3 linked regions of the Rattus norvegicus genome follow. The protein of the gene in region 3 purifies or fractionates together with the protein of the main gene of each other region. This does not show direct contact. Links are inferred from orthologs where the notes say so. Each region holds a gene or a part of one and is shown on either strand. Other genes may lie near its edges.

Region 1 (5,976 bases), on a different chromosome or scaffold from region 3:
GAAAGCTGATAAAGGCAAAACCCTGTGGGCCGAGGCAGACATGGAGGTGGTGAGAAGTGGGTCAGGGGATGCCTACTCTCCAGTTACCCATCCCTCAGCCCCGTTCACCCACCTTGGACTGCCCAGTGGTCTTGTCCTTGGCCAAGTAGATTCGGGAGATGGAGCCAAAAGGCCGGAAGAGTTCCTGTAAGTCAGTCTCACGAGTGTCCTCAGACAGATTAGTGACACGGATGGTGGCATTGTCATCAGCTTTGTGGGCAGGGCAGGGAGAGGTAGCCGTGAGGAGGATGCCGTAGTCAGACCCACGCCCACAACGCAGGACTAATTACAGGGTGTCTAGGTACCACCTGCTCCCTGGGTTTTCCTACCCTCCTCACCTCTGCGGTTTGGCTGCATAGACTCCCCACGGCGGCTTGCCCCGTCCCGGAGACTAGGAGGCACATACTTCCCTGTCTTGTTCTGGGCGGCCTGCACAGGCTCCAGTTCTGGAAAGCAGCAGACAAAAGTGATATTCAGCCCACCCCTGGGGACAGGCGTCCAGCCACCCTTTGGTGACCCACATCATATCCAGGAAGCTACAACCCTTCAGAGTCTCTACTCACGACATGGACAAGGTGAGCAGGGCAGACGTGATCCGGGCTTGCAGAGCCCTCCCTACAAGCTAGAGAATACCAGCTGGCAGCAGCCTGACTATAGGATGTCCCTCAGCAACACATCCATGATAGCAAGAATCAAGTCACAGAAGGCAGTTACCCCCACAGGACATGTTAGATTTCGGTCTACTGAGCCCAGCACATATGTGGGTGTCACCTGAATGTATGTGTGCATACATACATATACACACGCACACCCAAGTTAGAGTAAGTCATCAGTCACACTTGCATCAGAATGACCACCATGCCCAAAGTTGTCCCTAGGTGATATAGGGAAAGAAAACAGTACACTACAAAAGGAACAGCTGAGGCCCCTCCCAGGCGCCCCATGCCCACACCTCCTGGCAATTTCTCCTTCTCCCCGGTAGACAGGCCCAGCTGCTCAGCCAGCTCCTTCTGCATGGGTCCTAGTGTGTCCTTGTAGGGGCAGCGGGTGGTCCAATGGTCGCCCTTGCAAATGCGGCAGGACACGATCTTCTGGCCCTTGAGCTTGTTCATTGGGTCCTCCTCCTCCTGGCAGTTCAGGTCCTGGTGGGGAAGGGATGGCTCAGAAGGGGCTGCTATGTCCTACCCACCCCACTCCCTCTGCGTTTCTCAGGTTCCAGTTTCACCCTGCTCACCTCTTTGCTAGTGATGAATGTCATGGAGACGTCATCACTGACTGTGGTAGTGGCTACATTGGGCCCTGGCGGGTCAAACTCTGAGTTGCCAAACTTCTTCCAATTCTGGGCTCCCAGGAAAAGATGGGGAGGTGAGGATGAAGGCAGGAAGGATCCCACAGTGCAGCACCCCAGACAGACAACCATTCCGGGGCTTTGACTCCTATGTTCTAGTTTCCCTAGAGGCCTTCCGTGTGGTAACAGTGACAATACCCACTTCCTAAGATAGACATGGCGGCACATGACATCACTCCAACATCTGCCAGGTGCAAACAGGAGGATCCTGAGCTGCAGGCCATCCTGAGACACAAGCTCTAAACCAGCTTGAGCTGTATGAGGCCCCATCTAAATGAATGAATAAATACATAAGAAAAGGAAAAGGGGGCTGGGGACTTAGCTCAGTGGTAGAGCGCTTACCTAGGAAGCGCAAGGCCCTGGGTTCGGTCCCCAGCTCCGAAAAAAAGAACCAAAAAAAAAAAAAAAAAAAAAAAAAAAAAAGAAAAGGAAAAGGTGCTGGTGCCGTAGCTCAGTGTGAAAAGGTGCAGTTTACTTGTTGTACTTGTAACAACCTGAGCTTGATCCCAAAGTCACACAAAAAGTTGAGCATGGGGCTCAACTGTGCCACTGCAGTTTCTGGGCAGGTCAGTAGCCCAGCTCCCATCAGGAATGAAGGAGGAATCCCCAGATCTTAGGAACCTTGAGCTAGTTAGACCTGAGGTTCATTTCCTTCCTGTAACATGGGGGCCACAAAGCCCCCTGCCTCCCTAAACTGGCGTGGGGATTGAGAAGCCATGTCGAGCTAGATGACTTGGGGGGGAGGGGTGCTTGCTCTCAGGCAGTGCTGCCCCGGCTAGACGCCCTTGCCCCCTTGGTAAGTAGAGGCTGCTCGCTTCTTCATGTAGACAAAGGAGGAAGAATCTAAGTGGGGACTCGGGAGGCAGAAGCATTCTGAATGAAGACTGTAGAGCTAAAGTCTCTCAAAAATAACAAGCCAGGAAGTGGTGGCAGTGCCTTAAATCCTAAGTCTGGGGTAAAGGCAGGTGGACCTCTGAGTTCATGGTCAGCCTGGTCTACAGAGAGTTCAGAACAGCTAGAGCTACAGAGAAACCCTGTCTGGAAAAAACAGACAAACTACAAACAGAAAAACCAAGAGGGCTGGATATGTCTCAGTACAGTATTTGTCACAGAAGTGCCCATCAGAGTTGATCCCAATGAAGATCTGAGATCAGAGGCATGTACTTATGTGGGAACAGCAAGCCCAGTCTAGTTTCTAATATAAAGAGACCATCTCAAACCAAAAGTGCGCACACCTGCGCACAAAAGGAGAAGAAAAAAAAATCTTAACTTCATCTACTCCTGGGTCCTAAACTTTCAAGGCCTAACACTAAACTTTTATTCTACATCAACAAAAAGGGGCTTCCTAAGTCCTCTGGTCAGTCCTGGGGAACACCCCCATCCCCCAAATAAGTACACTCTCACCTTCCTCCTGGCCACAGCCTTTGATGCCTTCCGGGTCTCAATTCTGAAGGTTCTGACAATCTGAAGGTGGGAAAGAGTTAGGAGTGCTTCCCGAGTCTCAGGCCTGCCTCAGCCATCCAAAGCAACACTGACACTCTTCACCACCGATCTAAGAGCCCCTGAACAAGTCACGCTGACCACATATGCCCACCTCACCCTTACCTTGAACTTCTTCCCATCTTCCTCTACCTTGTACTCAGTCACCGTCTTTATGTTCCCATTGATGACTTCCTTGGGAGGTGGCAGTGGGTCTGGAGGAAGATCACAGAAACTAACTCCTGGGTAATGGGACTGGCTGGAAAGTAGGCTTGAGAATCGGAAGGGAGAAGGGAGAAGAAGGCAGGGATGGACGGTGCTCACCTCCAGGAAGTAACTCCGGCTCTGGACTGGTGTCACCGGTGGGCAGAGGGATTCCTTTCAGGAGCTCGCTGGTGACACACTTGTCTGCCGGAGGGAATTCGGGGAGGAAGGTAAGTGAGCCACAGCGCTGGAACTTTCAAGCCAATGGCGGGGGTTGGGGTGGGGGACCGCTCCAGGGGCAGAGCGCAAAGCGAGGGTGGGACTGGCCACAAGCGGCCCTAGCCTGTGCGTGGGCATCCGGGTCTCGCAGCGGGCGGGGCCGCGCACAAGCACTCACCGTCCTCTCCCTCCTCTTCCACCTGGTCGGCCCAGCTGGGCTTCGAGCTGCGGGGACAGGAGATCGGTGAGCGGGTCCCGGGCCCCGCGCTACCTGGACCACCATACACCCCAGAGCTGCCCCCACTCGGCCTCTCTGGCGACCCCCACCGCCACCGAACACTTACTCAAAGTCGCCAGTCGGCATCTCGAAGTCCTACTCCACGCAGCTCTCAGCCCGGGTAAAGACCGGAAGCCCGTGTAGAAGAGGCTTCCGGTGCTGTGGCCGCTGCCTAGAGCGGCCAGACCGCGGTGACCACAGCGCCTCCCTGTGGACAAATGTGGACATGCATGTTTTGCGTGCCGCAAAGCGCTGGCATCCAACCTGGAAAGGGGGTCTAGAAAAGAGCTTCTAAGAGCGTTTTAAACTTTTTACTCCCTCTTTAGGCTGATGGAACTAGATGTCAGTGTCTCACTCTATAGCTAGGATAATCAGTAACTCCCCACAATCCTTCTGTCTCAACTCCAAAACGCTCATGAACATCATTCCCAGGGTGGCCTTGAATACGAGGCTGTCCTGAACCTTGTGGTGTATGTACCCCAGCTAGCCTTGAATCTTTCCACCTCATTCTAGCAAGTGCCGGGAATACGAACATGAAACCACCACACTGGAAACTGATTCGTTCTCTCCCTCCTCTTGGAGAATTAGTTTTAATTATCACCCAGTGTTAGAGGTGGAAGCTGGAAAATCATGAGTTGAAGGCCATTTCAGCTACTTTTTGGATTCCAGGCTAGCCTGTGCTACATGAGACTCTGTATCCAAAACTAAAACCCTTACTTTGTTCCCCAGGCTTGCCCCTGAACTCCCGAATGCAAGCAATTGACAAATAACTGGCATTATACCAACAAGCCTGGGGGAAAAGCACATGTATCAAGAATGCCCTTAAAAAAAAAAAAAAAGAACCAAAAAAAAAAAAAAAAAAAAGAATGCCCTTGATTTGTGTTGTTTGGATGATACCAGGACTCTGGTTTGTTGAAGAAGATATAGACTCAGACCACCTGGTCTCCTGTGCTTCCTTTTCTGTGACGCATGCTAGGTTTTATCATGCAAACTTGCGTGTGTGTTTGTACTGTGTTTGAAGACACCGTGCTTGTGCACTCACAAACCCTTATGCACAGTACACGTGTGGAGGTCAGGGGACACTTTGCAGGAGGCCTCTCCTTCCACTATGTGGGTCCTGCAGCTCAGGCCCGCAGTCTTGGCCTCCTGTTGGGGTCAATGAATCGCTTCACAAACCACATGAACACCAATCTCTGACAGACACGGACAGTTTATTTAGCGTACATCCCAGGACTGGTTGACCAAGGTCACACTCCAGATTCAGGGACTGAACCCCAAGCTAAGATCCTGCAGGGTTGTTAAGCCCCAAATCCACAAACATCTGTGCCAAGTTATTTCACCAATCAGGATTTAGGGATAGGCAGATTTCCTTGGGATCATGTCTTTGTTGTACACTTACCCTGCTCCCAATGGTTGGGGTATTCAACTGTGGCAGGGGACTTGCCTTGTCTAACATTCAAGTCTTAACTTGCCAGCCAGGGGGCTGGAGAGATGGCTCAGTGGTTAAGAGCGCTGACTGCTCTTCCTGAGGTCCTGAGTTCAAATCCCAGCAACCACATGGTGGCTCACAACCATCTGTAATGATATCAGATGCCCTCTTCTGGTGTGTCTGAAGACAGCTGCAGTGTACTTATATATAATAAATAAATAAATCTTTTAATTAAAAAAAAAACTTGCCAACCAGGATGTCAGTTATCCATGCTCATGTCTCTTTTTGCTCTCTGAGGTTGTCAGTTCCCAGGAAGGTCTTGGGAATGTAATCTTTACTCAACTCCTACTCAAAATGGAAGTCTTGTTCCAAATAGTTTCTTACACTGGTGCAGGTGTCTCTCTTATGTTGGGGTCCATCCCAGGGGCAGCTTACAAAGGCAAGTGCCATAGAAACTTATGTATGGTTCAGGAAGTGCTGCTGGGTGGCCGATTCGGGTCCAGGCTTATTGTGGGTCATGATACAAAACCGTTCTACTGACTTCTATCATGATTGATTTCCAAGGGCACAGAGCATAACAGAATACGTAATCAATCTCGGCATTAGAAAGTTTCTTAGTAACAGCAGAGACATGGGAAAGTTTCCTTATAATGGTAGGCTACCCAGGTAACAGTCACCTAGGCCCTAACATTTTATCTAGGCCTTAAAATATTTTACCTAGGTCCCAATACCTCCTTAGCTGCAAAAGCATGTCGTAAGTTCTATTCCTGCCACCTTAAACTATCTCCCATGTGAAGCTCTTATCAAGTAAATGAAGACTATAACAGATTCTCTGCCTCCAGGGACACCCATTCCAAGCTCCGTGTGTAATGGCCAATACTCCCGGCACTTAGAACTTGTATCTTGGGCTGGCCAATGACTCAGTGGGTGAAGGTGCTTTCCATGAGCCTGTTGCCGTGAGTTCAACCCCAGGACCCATCT
Region 2 (5,987 bases), on a different chromosome or scaffold from region 3:
CGATTCGGTATTTCCTGACACCCTCTTCTGACCTCCAAGAGAGCACTACTTGCATATAGTAATAGACATACATGCAAGCGAAGCACTCATACCATAGAAATTAAAAGAAAACTTGTAACGGCAACATTAAAATGACATTATACCTAATCCCTAACTTTACAATAAGGATTTAAACTTTAAGCTATTAGTGTTTACAATATGAAATACAAATCAAGTTTAAGTTCAGTACTAACCCCATGATAAAATTAAAATGCAAAACACTGGAAATATAAGAATAATCCACTTTCCCAATGTGTAATTTTTTAAATAGATATAAGGTGTCTTTACTTCTAAAAAAATACATTTTTTGTTTTTTACTTTATGTGTATCAGAGCTTTGCTTCCATGTATAACTCTGACAGCCTTTGGTTGTCAGAAGAGGATGGATCCCCTTTCAACTGGAGTTACAACTGATTTTAAGCAACTGTGTGTACTGGCAACCAAACCCAGGTTCTGCCCACAAGTGTGATTTCTTCCTGTCACTTTTAAATTCTTGCTTAGAAATTTGATGTTGTAGAATCAAATCTCTATCATTTGCACTGAAGGAGGTTGAAGTAATAAGATCAAATTTGAGAACAATCTGGGCTACCTAATAAGGCTCTGCCTCAAAAAAAAAAAAGTACAAAAACAAATAAACGTTTTATGACAGAATTAAAGAGTCATTTTCTTAATGATAGGTTCAAGTCCAAGCCCAGAAATCTAGCTTTTAAAGTTTCAAATAAGGAAAAAGACGCTCACTTGAATATAAAACATCTGCTTGGTGTGATGAAGCGATGAAGCATGCCTTTCACCTCAGCATGAGTTTTAGGGCACAGAGCAGCTGAGGACCCCCCCCACACACACACACACACACTCTCCTTAAAATCCCCCACCCACTAAGAAAAGTAAGGGGAGGGAAAATATAAACAACGAACTGAAATTCGAACAAACTCTTCATGATGATCCATGGCTGTGACTCGTCCTTACTCTTACAACTGAGACTGAGGTCCTTGAAATTACCTAATTAATATTGTGGGAAGGCTTTTGCAGCTAGAAGGAATTATTTCAACACTTAGTTGATTTCAAGATTTCAAGTGTCTATAAACCAAAATCCAGAATTATATGTATTATTAGAATAGGCACTCTGCATTTATCTTTAGGATTTGACTGAAACCATGTATCTACCAATAAAGAAAAGACTCACATCAATCCTTCATTTTTCACCAATTCCTGCAACAGATTAAGTATCTAAGCTATAATGTTACTACTTAGTTGTGGGGTTTCATAATATCAGTTTTACTTTTTTTTTTTTCTTTTTTTTCCGGAGCTGGGGACCGAACCCAGGGCCTTGTGCTTGCTAGGCAAGTGCTCTACCACTGAGCTAAATCCCCAACCCCTCAATTTTACTTTTTAAGGCTGAAGTTGTAGAGTGTAAGGGTAAAAGGCTTTGACATTTTCCCACCCCCTAATTACAGCTTAGAGTGACTTGAAGGGCTATTTATTAAAATAATGCAATAGATTAGGTCTAAATATCCCTGGGGCTACAAATGCTACAGATAAAACGTTTAGGTAAACAGATTTCTGAGGAGTGAAAACCCATTTTATCATCTACTTGTTTTATAAACAGCACCATGTGAGATAAGACAATCTGCTCCTGTCAAGTTCCTTGGAAGCTAAGGTATTACTCCTTAATATTCTGGCAACTGTAATGGGGCTGCACCAAGAAGTCACTACAGGTCTTAGGTAAAATGCACCAACAAGACCTAAGTTAGCCACACTGTACCACAAAGTACTACCCTACTTTGCTGATACTTTCCCCAGATTACTCATCATTAAGCAAGTCAACTTAGAAACTGTGAAAAGGAATTTAGAACACATTATGTAACCTTTCTGCTTTAAAAAGTTATTGAAATATTAACCAAGTTCACATGAAGATTCCAAACAGGAGAGAAAAATAGGGTCAGCATGTTACTATGTATGTATGTAGGCCAAAGACTGTAGTGCTTTAGCTAGACTACTATGGGGAAAATGACTGCTGCTGAATGTTACAGCTTAAACATATATAATAGCTATACTTAGTATGTCTGTCCAATTCCATTTTCAACACCACAACGTGATTCTAAGTTTCAAAACATCAAAAAGTCCTAAATTAGCTACAGTTCTAATTTCAATAATAAATTAGTGCTAGCAGTATTAGGTTATCCACGGTGCATTATTATTCTATTCCAGATTGCCTCCACAAAATAAAAAATATAAGTATGCAGCCAACACATCTTTATTCCTGACAAATTATCAGCAGTATTCTTTTGTAAGTTTTGACTCAAATGGCCTTTTCATAAAATGTGGCTTCCACTTCTAGTAATCTTGCCAAACACAAAACCGGCAACATAAATGGTTTATGTTTGGACTGGAGGAGTTAAAAGGGACACAGATACATAATTATCAGGTTTTATTTTAAAAAACAAAAAGCAGTTTTTAAAGGTCAGATCAGATATATGCACACGACTTTTCCACCACAATATCAGAGATCCGGGCAAGTCTTTCCTGCAAGTGCCAGGCTTAATTAAGCACACGTATGGAAATAGAAATAGCACTCAGTGGCACTGCGGTGGAAGGAAAAAAAGACAGAAGAGAAAAAGGGGGAAAAAAAAAAAACCCGAACTGGATATCGAGAGACCTTGATCTTAAGTTTCCTGACACTTCCAAGTGACCTTGGGGGAAACCACTCTTTCTGGAGCTTGTCTGGGGAGGATCATTTTTAAATCCCTAAAGAATATTAACTTTTAATGATTCGAAATACTTTCGAAATGACCCTTATCGAATCGTGGGGAGGGAAACACCACACAGGAAACAAGTTAATGGAGTAGAGGCCTGAAGTGCAAACTAGTAGTGAGGCAAGTAGACCCTGACCCAGAAGGCCTCCGCGTGGGATCTGGAGCCAGACGTGCCGGAGAGGTGGGGTGGAGGTAGACTAGCCGGGCTCCCGACCCCGGCGGGAGGTGGAGCTGAGGTTCTCGCGTGCATTGTCCCCGGGAGGGAGCCATGTTTCCTCCTCCCGGCACTCCCAGATGGCGGCAGGGAGCGCGGGGCTTCCCAAGCAGTCCACGGTCTGAAAGGCCAGCAGGAGGCCGATCGTGGCTAAGAATCGCAAGATCAGAGAGATCTGACCCGCGGGCCGTGGCCCTCCGACGCAAGCCTTGGGCCGCAGCCAGTGGACACACACGGGAGCGACGGTTCCTGATCCGCGCTTTCCGCCGCGGCCCGCTTGAGTAGGGAGGCCGTGTGAGACATGGCCGGGTGGCGGCGGCCGTGACCACTGGCCTCCACAGCCCGGGTGCGGGCAGCAGGAGGGGGCCCTCGAACTCCCAGGCCTCGGGCCAGCCCTGCGCGGCGCGACCCGCTGCCTTACTCACCGTTGGCGCGCTTGAGGGCATTTTCCGGCCTCTGGAAATAGGCCGGCATCTTGGCGGTACGCTCAGTTCACCCGGCGTCAGCGAACTCCCTAGTGGCCTGGACCGGGAGAGGAGGCGGAGGGGAACTAGCGCGAGCTTCCACGCGCCTCGCCAGCAGTCGCCCGCGCCCAGCCGGCCAGAGACGGAAAGGAAGGAGCCACGTGATTCCCTCGCGGCGGCAGCGCCGCCGCCCGAGCCCCGGATGTAAGAGGCAGGCCTTTGCGCATGCTCCGCCTTTCTCTGCGCGCAGGCGTGCTGGCGTCGCGAGCGTGAGCTGACGTGGCGATGGGTGCCGGGCAGCGAGAACAGTTGTGTTCTTTGGGTCGCGGGAGGGAACCCCAAGAAGTTTTCTCCGGCCACCACTGCTCCAGCGGACATAGGGTGGGAAAGGAAAATCTGCGGTCAGATCTGCGACTAAAAAAGGCAGTGTCTACAACAGTCATTCCCAAAATGACGTGCGCAGAATCTGGCCGCGTTAAGGTCGCAACGGCTGTGCGGAGACATCGCCTGGAAAGGTTCAAAATACTTAACGGAAGTGCTGAGCCGGTATCGCTGTCCAGTGGTGTTCGTTGCTAAGAAATAGGGCACCAGTCGCTTAACTGACAAGGAAGGGGAGGGAACAAGCAAATAATAAACAGAGTTATTTGGTATCCTTGTAGGGTTAGCGTCTCAAGGATTCCTGAAAGAAGACGAGCAGGGGCAGAGCCACCTCCTTTGAGTAGAAGACCCAGGAACACAGATAGAACCGTCTTGTATAGTGTTTGAAAATACGCGAGTGTCATCGATTTTTACATACAACTCACGTCACAAATACAAGAAATGCGTGTTGGTGAGGAAATGGCTTACTGCAAGCCATGTCTTTTATTGCTACCTAACAAATTTAGTGTTCATAGATTAATTACTATGCTTAGAGCTTGAAAGCCATTTAAAACCGCGTCGAATTCTGAGGCTCTTGGTAGGAAATTAACTTGAGTTCAGGGCTGCAGATGTAAAGTGGCTGAGCGCTCCTCTATCACGCACAGGCCCATAATCCCTGGCACCACACAAAGGTTCAGAGAAAATTCAGAAGGAAATGAATAAATTATTGCAAGTTCATTATATATTTTACAATAATATGGGATATGTAAATTAGTGAGATAGTGTATCAATGAATGAGGAAACCTTAAAAAGAAAAGTAAAACCTTAAGCTCAGTGGGAACCCACACCTTTCATCCCAGCACTCAGGAGGCAGAGAGAGGCAGATCCCTGTGAGTTCGAGGTCAGCCTGGTCTATAGAGTGAGTTCTACACAGAGAAACCCTTTCTCGGAAAAACAAATTAAAACTATTTTTAAGCTATTTAAAGGTCTGAAGAGATACTAATCTTGCAGAGCACTTTAGTTCAGCTCTCAGCACCCACGTTAGGTTGCTCATAACCACCTCTAATTCTAGTTCCGTGCGTATCTATCATCTCTGGCTTCCCCAACACTTACATTCACATGAACATACCCAAAGACACAGACACATTAAAAACAAAGAATACTTTAAAGTTGATTTCAAGAGTTCTTCCTCCAGAATACTTAGACCATGCTAAATGCACGAACTTTCACCTCCAAAAGCAAGTACCAGACAGGACTGATGTAAAAGAACATCTAGTGTTACAAGCTTTAGCAACTGTTTTATGGGCATGATCAAGGGACTTCTTTGTGTATATTATAATTAAGTCAAATTTTAAAAGTCAAACATAAAGAGCAAATGGTTCCTTCTTGAAGTTTTTAATTACATAATAGGCTAAAGAAAGATGCAAACAGTAAAATCAAAAGAAACTTGGTCTAAATATCAGAAAAGGCTTTCTACACATTCTCGATTCCTTTATTACATCAGAAAATAGTAAAAATAGGAGCTGAAAAAATGGCTTAGCAGTTAAGAGTACTTTCTGTTCCTGAAGAGGATCCATGTTTGATTCTAAGCTTCCATAAGGTGGTTTATAATCATCCATAACTTCAGTTCTAGGGTATCTGACACTTTCTGACCTCTACAAGCAACAAGTGCACAAACATTCAAAAGGCAAAATAGTCATAAAAGTAAAATGGGTTCAGCATTACCTATGTAGTAGGCCCACAGTCAGATAAGCACTAGAAAATTAAAAAAATGAAGTGAAATGAAATATCTCTCATACTGATAATTTTCCCTTCATGTTATTTAAAGCATAAGAATCATTGGTGATGTAATAGCCAATGATCATGTAAGTGCATTAAAAAGAATGAGACAAATTAATTGTATACAGTGGCTGGTATCTGGTCCAAGCCACTCAAAGCCTAAGACAGAAAGATCACTAGAACCTCGGAGTTCAAGCCAGCTGAGCAATAAACAAGACACCATCTCCAACAATTACTTAGAGTCTGGTACTCTTTGTTAATGAAAGTAATAATGTTGATTACCAGGGGTAAATACATTCCACCAACAGGTTTTTGGTACCAGTTAGCAGCCATAATGTTGAGTGTTAGAGATGTTAAGATTCTCAATGCTTGGGGTTGGGGA
Region 3 (5,233 bases):
CAGCTGGCTCTGAAGCTTGGAGCAAGTGTTAGGCAAAAATTCCGTGGTGGGGTACTTGGCCAGCATTTGCAAGCTGACTCCTGAGGATGATAGCACCCAGGTAGGAGAGGCAGGTTCAGAGCAAAGAGCCACTCCTAAGACAGTGAGATCAGAGAGGTAGGTGTAGCCAATGAAGAATGTAGATACAATAGGCTAGTTGCCAGGAGCCAGGAAGGAGGGGGCCGCAGGTTGTCCTGTGGCTCCCAGGCTGTGCCCCTGCAGCCACTCAGCAGCAGGAATACAGGCAAAAAGCAGAAGGTGAGTACACCACGGAAAATCCCAGTAGCAGGCAGGCCACAGAACAAGCCAGAGTCAGTTAGCCCCCTCGCAGTACGCTCATCTGGCCCAACCCGCCTCCCTGACGCAGGCTCCTCCCTCTCCTTATACCAGCCCCCTCCTCACCGCCCCTACCACCCACGGTCCCACCTGGCAGCTGTGTAGCCCAACTCCCTATCCGTGCTCCGGCCTCCGCCTCTTACCCTGACCGGCTGAGCGCCGAGAGCCAATACAGCCCATGGCAGGGCACCCAGGCACGCTAGCCCGCGCTCGGGACCCGGGCCATCGCCTTGCAGAGGGTCGGGCCGCGGTCACCACCAGGGAGGGGACAGCCTGTGAGAAGGGGAGGGGGTGGGAGCAGCGCGTCTGCTGCCGCTCCCGAGAGAGGGGAACAGGGCCGGTGACGTAAGCGCGGGGCCGTGCCCACCCAGAACAGGCGGGGCAAGCCTACGTCACAGCCACTCAGTGACAGCCTGGGTCTCACAGAATCTCCAGTCCACTGCGGAGCTATACTGAGGACAGAAGCCGGTAGGCCGTGCAGTCATTTTACAAGGGACATCCCACTTATGGCTTCTACAAGGGCTTCAAACTCAGGGCCTGGATCAATCCAGCAGAAACTTAAGTATCCTACAGCACTCCTCTCCCGTTTCATCATGTCAAACTGATGCCATGATCCCAACCCTTCAGAAAAGCAATTCCCCAGGTTCCCGAAATTTTCTGATAGGTAAACAAGTATCAATGAGTGAACAAATCTGGTATACTCCAACGGTTCAGATCAGTAAAGAGGCAATAAACTTAATTGAATTCATGTTTAATAATTACAGGCACCGTGCCCAACCCTTCCCCCTGCCCTGGCAGCAGCAGGGGTGGTGCAGGGGCTGGGGCATATGCCCCCAGCAGCGAGGACGGCAGTCCCAAGAGTGATTTCAGAAAATAAAAAAGGACCCTAGAGGCAGGCGGTAGTGCCCCTCCCCCCGCAAAGACACACCAAATTTCAAGACTTTATATATATATCTCTGTGCCCTGGGGGGAGGAGAGAGACACTTGGCAGCATCCTGGAGGGGGGCCCCAGGCAGCCCCAAGCCATCCTGCCTCATCAGCCACTTTATTAGCTCAAGACACATCGCACTACAGGCACCCACTGCCACTGCCGCCACAGCCGCCGCCGCCCCCCTGCAGTCCAGGCGGCTGGCTGGCTGGGCCATCCACGTGTCCATGGCTCCAAGTCCCCTGCCCCACCCGCCATCAGTTGTGATCAGACTCCTCGTCCTCAGCCTCACGAAGCCAATTGAAGAATGCTGTGACAGATTTAAGGGCCACACCCTTGCCCTGCTGTTCAGCAGGGTCCTTGCTGCTCTCCCAGCTGTAGAAGGCGTCTTCCTTCACCACGTCCTCATCATACAGAGCATCAAAGAACATCCGAAGCAGGTCTGCAGGCCACAAGGACAACAATTAGATGACTAGCCAAAGCCTTAGATCCCTCCCACAGAGACACTGCTAACACAACCTTGATCTACCATTCTGGTATTCAGAGTGACTAGGCCTCTGACAATACCAATCTCATGACAGAGATTACCAGCCCAAGAATGGGTTACTTAGCCATTAGCAATCCTTAGAGACAGGAAAATGTAAACCCAAATATTTGGGAGACTGAGGCAGATCAAGATAGCAAGCTCATAGCAAACTGGCAGCTTAGCAAAATTGTCTGAAAGGGGGAGAAACTGAGACCAGGTACACACATTTAATCTCAGTGCTCAGGAGGAAGAGAAGGGTAGATTGAGTTTGAGACTACCTTGGTCTGCAATAGACTTGTTTCTAGGCCAGCTAGTTCTGTTATCAGTGAGACCACATCTCAAGAGAGCAAAGGGAGGGAAGGCTGGGTGTGATGGTATATTATGCCTATAGTCCCAACACTTGGCTAGCCTGCAAGACTACAGAGAGAAACCTTGGCTTAAAAAAAACAAAAACAGGGGTTGGGGATTTAGCTCAGTGGTAGAGCGCTTGGCGCAAGGCCCTGGGTTCCGTCCCCAGCTCCGGAAAAAAAAAAAAAAAAAAAAAGGAAAAATGTTAAAGTCTGGAAGTCTGGTGCCCACAACTGGAATCCCATTACTTGGTATATAGAGGGAAGGAGGATCAAAGGTAGGGAAAGCCTAAACTACATAACTGGTTTTGAGGCCAGCCCAGACTATTAAGATTGCATCTCGGAGACAAAATAAGTAATAAATAATGAATGGAAGTTGAAAGCTAGGCACCGGACACCTGAGTTCCAGTATTTACGAGTCTGTGGCAGACAGACTACCAACAACTGTTGCCTCTTCTTCCCACACACTTGTACCCCTCTGGCCTCTGGGGAGTGACACTCTGCCCAGTGGTACATTTCTCTTAGCACCCATCTTCAGGGTGAATCCCCCCCCCCCCAACCTCCTCTGACCCGTGCTTGTTTTAGGCCATCACAAGCAGCTTTCCTCAAGTGCTTGTCTTAGAATACAATTCCAGAACACTGTCCATCCCATTCCTCACAAACCCCATTACCTGAAGCACAGGACCTCAAGCCCAGCCCAAGGTGGCAAGTTAGCTTACCAACTATGGGAAGTTTAGGCCAGACATTCCTGTTTTCCACGTCTCTATGGATATAGCTGATCTTTCACTTATCCCATATCTTGTGTTCCAAAACCTGTGTGTGCGTGCCCCACCCCTGAGAACCCTGTACAACCACTCATCTATTTACCACGTGTGCTAAGTCCAATCTTACCACAACGCCAGCTTTCAACTATCCCAAAGCTAAACGAGATTTTTGTATCTGTTTTTCCTTCTGTCTCAGTCCTGTCCAATTCAGAATTTCAGAACCCTACTTACTCTCAAATACTGAAGCTTGCTAGGAAGACCTCAATGTCTTAAATACTCAAAGTGCTTAATTTTTGGATACGCTCCTACCACACTGAGGCATCTAGCATTTTCAACCATTTTTCTATACCAAATTTTCTTTTTGCTCATAGACCCCTGCCCTATCTGTGTCTTCTATTTTGCCAGGGTTCTTATTCTTGAGGCAATCCCACATCCTTTTGTAAGAACATATTGGAAAAGGCAGGAGTCCCAGCAGAACCATTCAAAGTAAGCCTCAGTCTCCACTGTAAAGTGAAGTAAACAGCTGACAGTATTTTAAAGGTAATTATGCTTCAACTACTGTTTTGCTTTTTGTTGTATATACGTAGCCCTGGTTGTCTTGATCAGAGACTCACTTTCCTGTCTTCTGAGTGCCACCATGACCACCTGGGGAATAGGGGCATTCTCTGAAACAGGGTCTAATTAATTAGCCAAGGCTAGTCTCACACTAGTATTTCTCTACCTCTGGTGTTAGGATCACAGGATGTGACACCATCCTTTCTTTGCTTACAATCCCAAAAAAGCCTTACTCCATTTGGTGCAAGCCCCTTGTCAGTACTTACCTAGCCTGAAGTATCTGTCCCCTTCCCCCCACTTCTCCAGTCCCTCTTGTTCATGACTGCTGTACCTTCCTTCAGTAGCTCTTTTCACGTTTTTATTCCAACTCAGGCTGCCTGCTCTCTATCTATAGGGAACCAATTCAAACCCATCATCTCTTGGACCCATCTTCCAACATTCATGCTCCGACTCCAAGCCAGCATAGAACTAAGCTCACTACAGTTATTTCAACACCTAAGCATACCCATGTGCTGAATTTGCAAACCTCAGACATGGTCATAAGCCCCCACTTCCAATGAGGAAAATGGAGACAAATCCCTAACAACCATTAACAAGGTAGGCAAGCACTTTAGCCTTGTGTCAGACAGATGGGCACATGGTATCTGAAAGATATTACTGTTTATCACCTCTGCATTGCTGTCATCTACTGGTCAAGCACAAAGCGGGCAGGCAATCAACCCTCCAGGCTTAGATTAACTCATTCCATTTGTAGGCAAGGAAACAAGCAGAGGGTAGGGTAAGTAACAATCAAACACCGGGGCATTTTACTCTCTCCCCGCCTCTCTTGCATTGAGTACCTTCCATGAGCACAGTCTTGTAGCTGGCAGTCCCTCCGCCCCACCCTCCCCTGCAGCCTGGCTCTTACTGGCAGGCTGTTCTAAGGTCACTACAAGGGCCTGGAGAGCATAGAGTGCTTGTAGCTCCTTCTGCTCATCACTCAGGTATTTCTGAAGCAGTCTTGCTCGCACTTTCAACACTTGAACATCCACTCGGAGAGGAGTCTCAACTACAGGAAAAAAACAAACAAAACAACAAAAAAGTGGAATAATGCAGATTTTACTTGGCTTAGCCCTAGATTGCCTGGCCCACCCCTGTCCCACCACCTCTCTGGCTTACAGATAATTGCAGAATAACAGACAGTTGTCATGAGGGCTCGAACTAATGTATTGGATGCTATCTGCTGCTCATTCAGGTTGGCCTGTGTGGGAACACAAATGCACCCTAAGTATCCACTCGTTACTCCCCAACCACCCACTCCAAAATCTACCTCTCTCCTCCCCAGGTATGGTACCCATGGAGAAGCATACCTCTATCCAGTCACACACACGCTGGTCCTCCCTCTCCTCCCCTGGTACCCATGGAGAAGCATACCTCTATCCAGTCACACACACGCTGGTCCTCCCTCTCCTCCCCTGGTACCCATGGAGAAGCATACCTCTATCCAGTCAAACACACGCTGGTTACTGCCGCCGTCCTTCAGCAGCTTCTCGAGCTGCCTTCGCAGCTCCTCAAAGGCAAGTGCCCTCTGGCCAGGAGCTTCAGATTCTTCTCCCAAGGTATATTCCACCTTCTATAAACAAGTAACCCACAGAGACGGTCAAAACTAGTGTAAAAGATGAGGGAAAGATGAGATCTGCTAGCCCCAAATGCAGAATAACTGACTCCAGTCTCAAACCTTTTCAGCCACAAATGAGCC

Evidence for each region. Proteins that work in one complex are often made in the same cells at the same time.
Region 1: the proteins of Eif4g1 (region 3) and Eif3g purify together in Homo sapiens (affinity purification with mass spectrometry; 3 studies listed by BioGRID, with this or other methods). This does not show direct contact. The link is inferred for Rattus norvegicus from reciprocal best matches to the Homo sapiens genes EIF4G1 and EIF3G.
Region 2: the proteins of Eif4g1 (region 3) and Eif3a purify together in Homo sapiens (affinity purification with western blotting; 4 studies listed by BioGRID, with this or other methods). This does not show direct contact. The link is inferred for Rattus norvegicus from reciprocal best matches to the Homo sapiens genes EIF4G1 and EIF3A.

What each region holds. Positions count from the first base shown.
Region 1 is NC_086026.1:27,706,284-27,712,259, forward strand, and holds the start of Eif3g (eukaryotic translation initiation factor 3 subunit G), read right to left. Parts: upstream 3,664-5,976; 5' UTR 3,654-3,663; coding exon 3,634-3,653; intron 3,515-3,633; coding exon 3,468-3,514; intron 3,275-3,467; coding exon 3,191-3,274; intron 3,082-3,190; coding exon 2,993-3,081; intron 2,852-2,992; coding exon 2,792-2,851; intron 1,379-2,791; coding exon 1,274-1,378; intron 1,182-1,273; coding exon 992-1,181; intron 486-991; coding exon 378-485; intron 250-377; coding exon 113-249; intron 23-112; coding exon 1-22. UniProt on the Homo sapiens protein: RNA-binding component of the eukaryotic translation initiation factor 3 (eIF-3) complex, which is required for several steps in the initiation of protein synthesis.
Region 2 is NC_086019.1:269,915,363-269,921,349, forward strand, and holds the start of Eif3a (eukaryotic translation initiation factor 3 subunit A), read right to left. Parts: upstream 3,664-5,987; 5' UTR 3,480-3,663; coding exon 3,431-3,479; intron 1-3,430. UniProt on the Homo sapiens protein: RNA-binding component of the eukaryotic translation initiation factor 3 (eIF-3) complex, which is required for several steps in the initiation of protein synthesis.
Region 3 is NC_086029.1:93,725,212-93,730,444, forward strand, and holds the end of Eif4g1 (eukaryotic translation initiation factor 4 gamma 1), read right to left. Parts: coding exon 5,213-5,233; intron 5,108-5,212; coding exon 4,973-5,107; intron 4,736-4,972; coding exon 4,654-4,735; intron 4,544-4,653; coding exon 4,403-4,543; intron 1,746-4,402; coding exon 1,561-1,745; 3' UTR 1,111-1,560; downstream 1-1,110.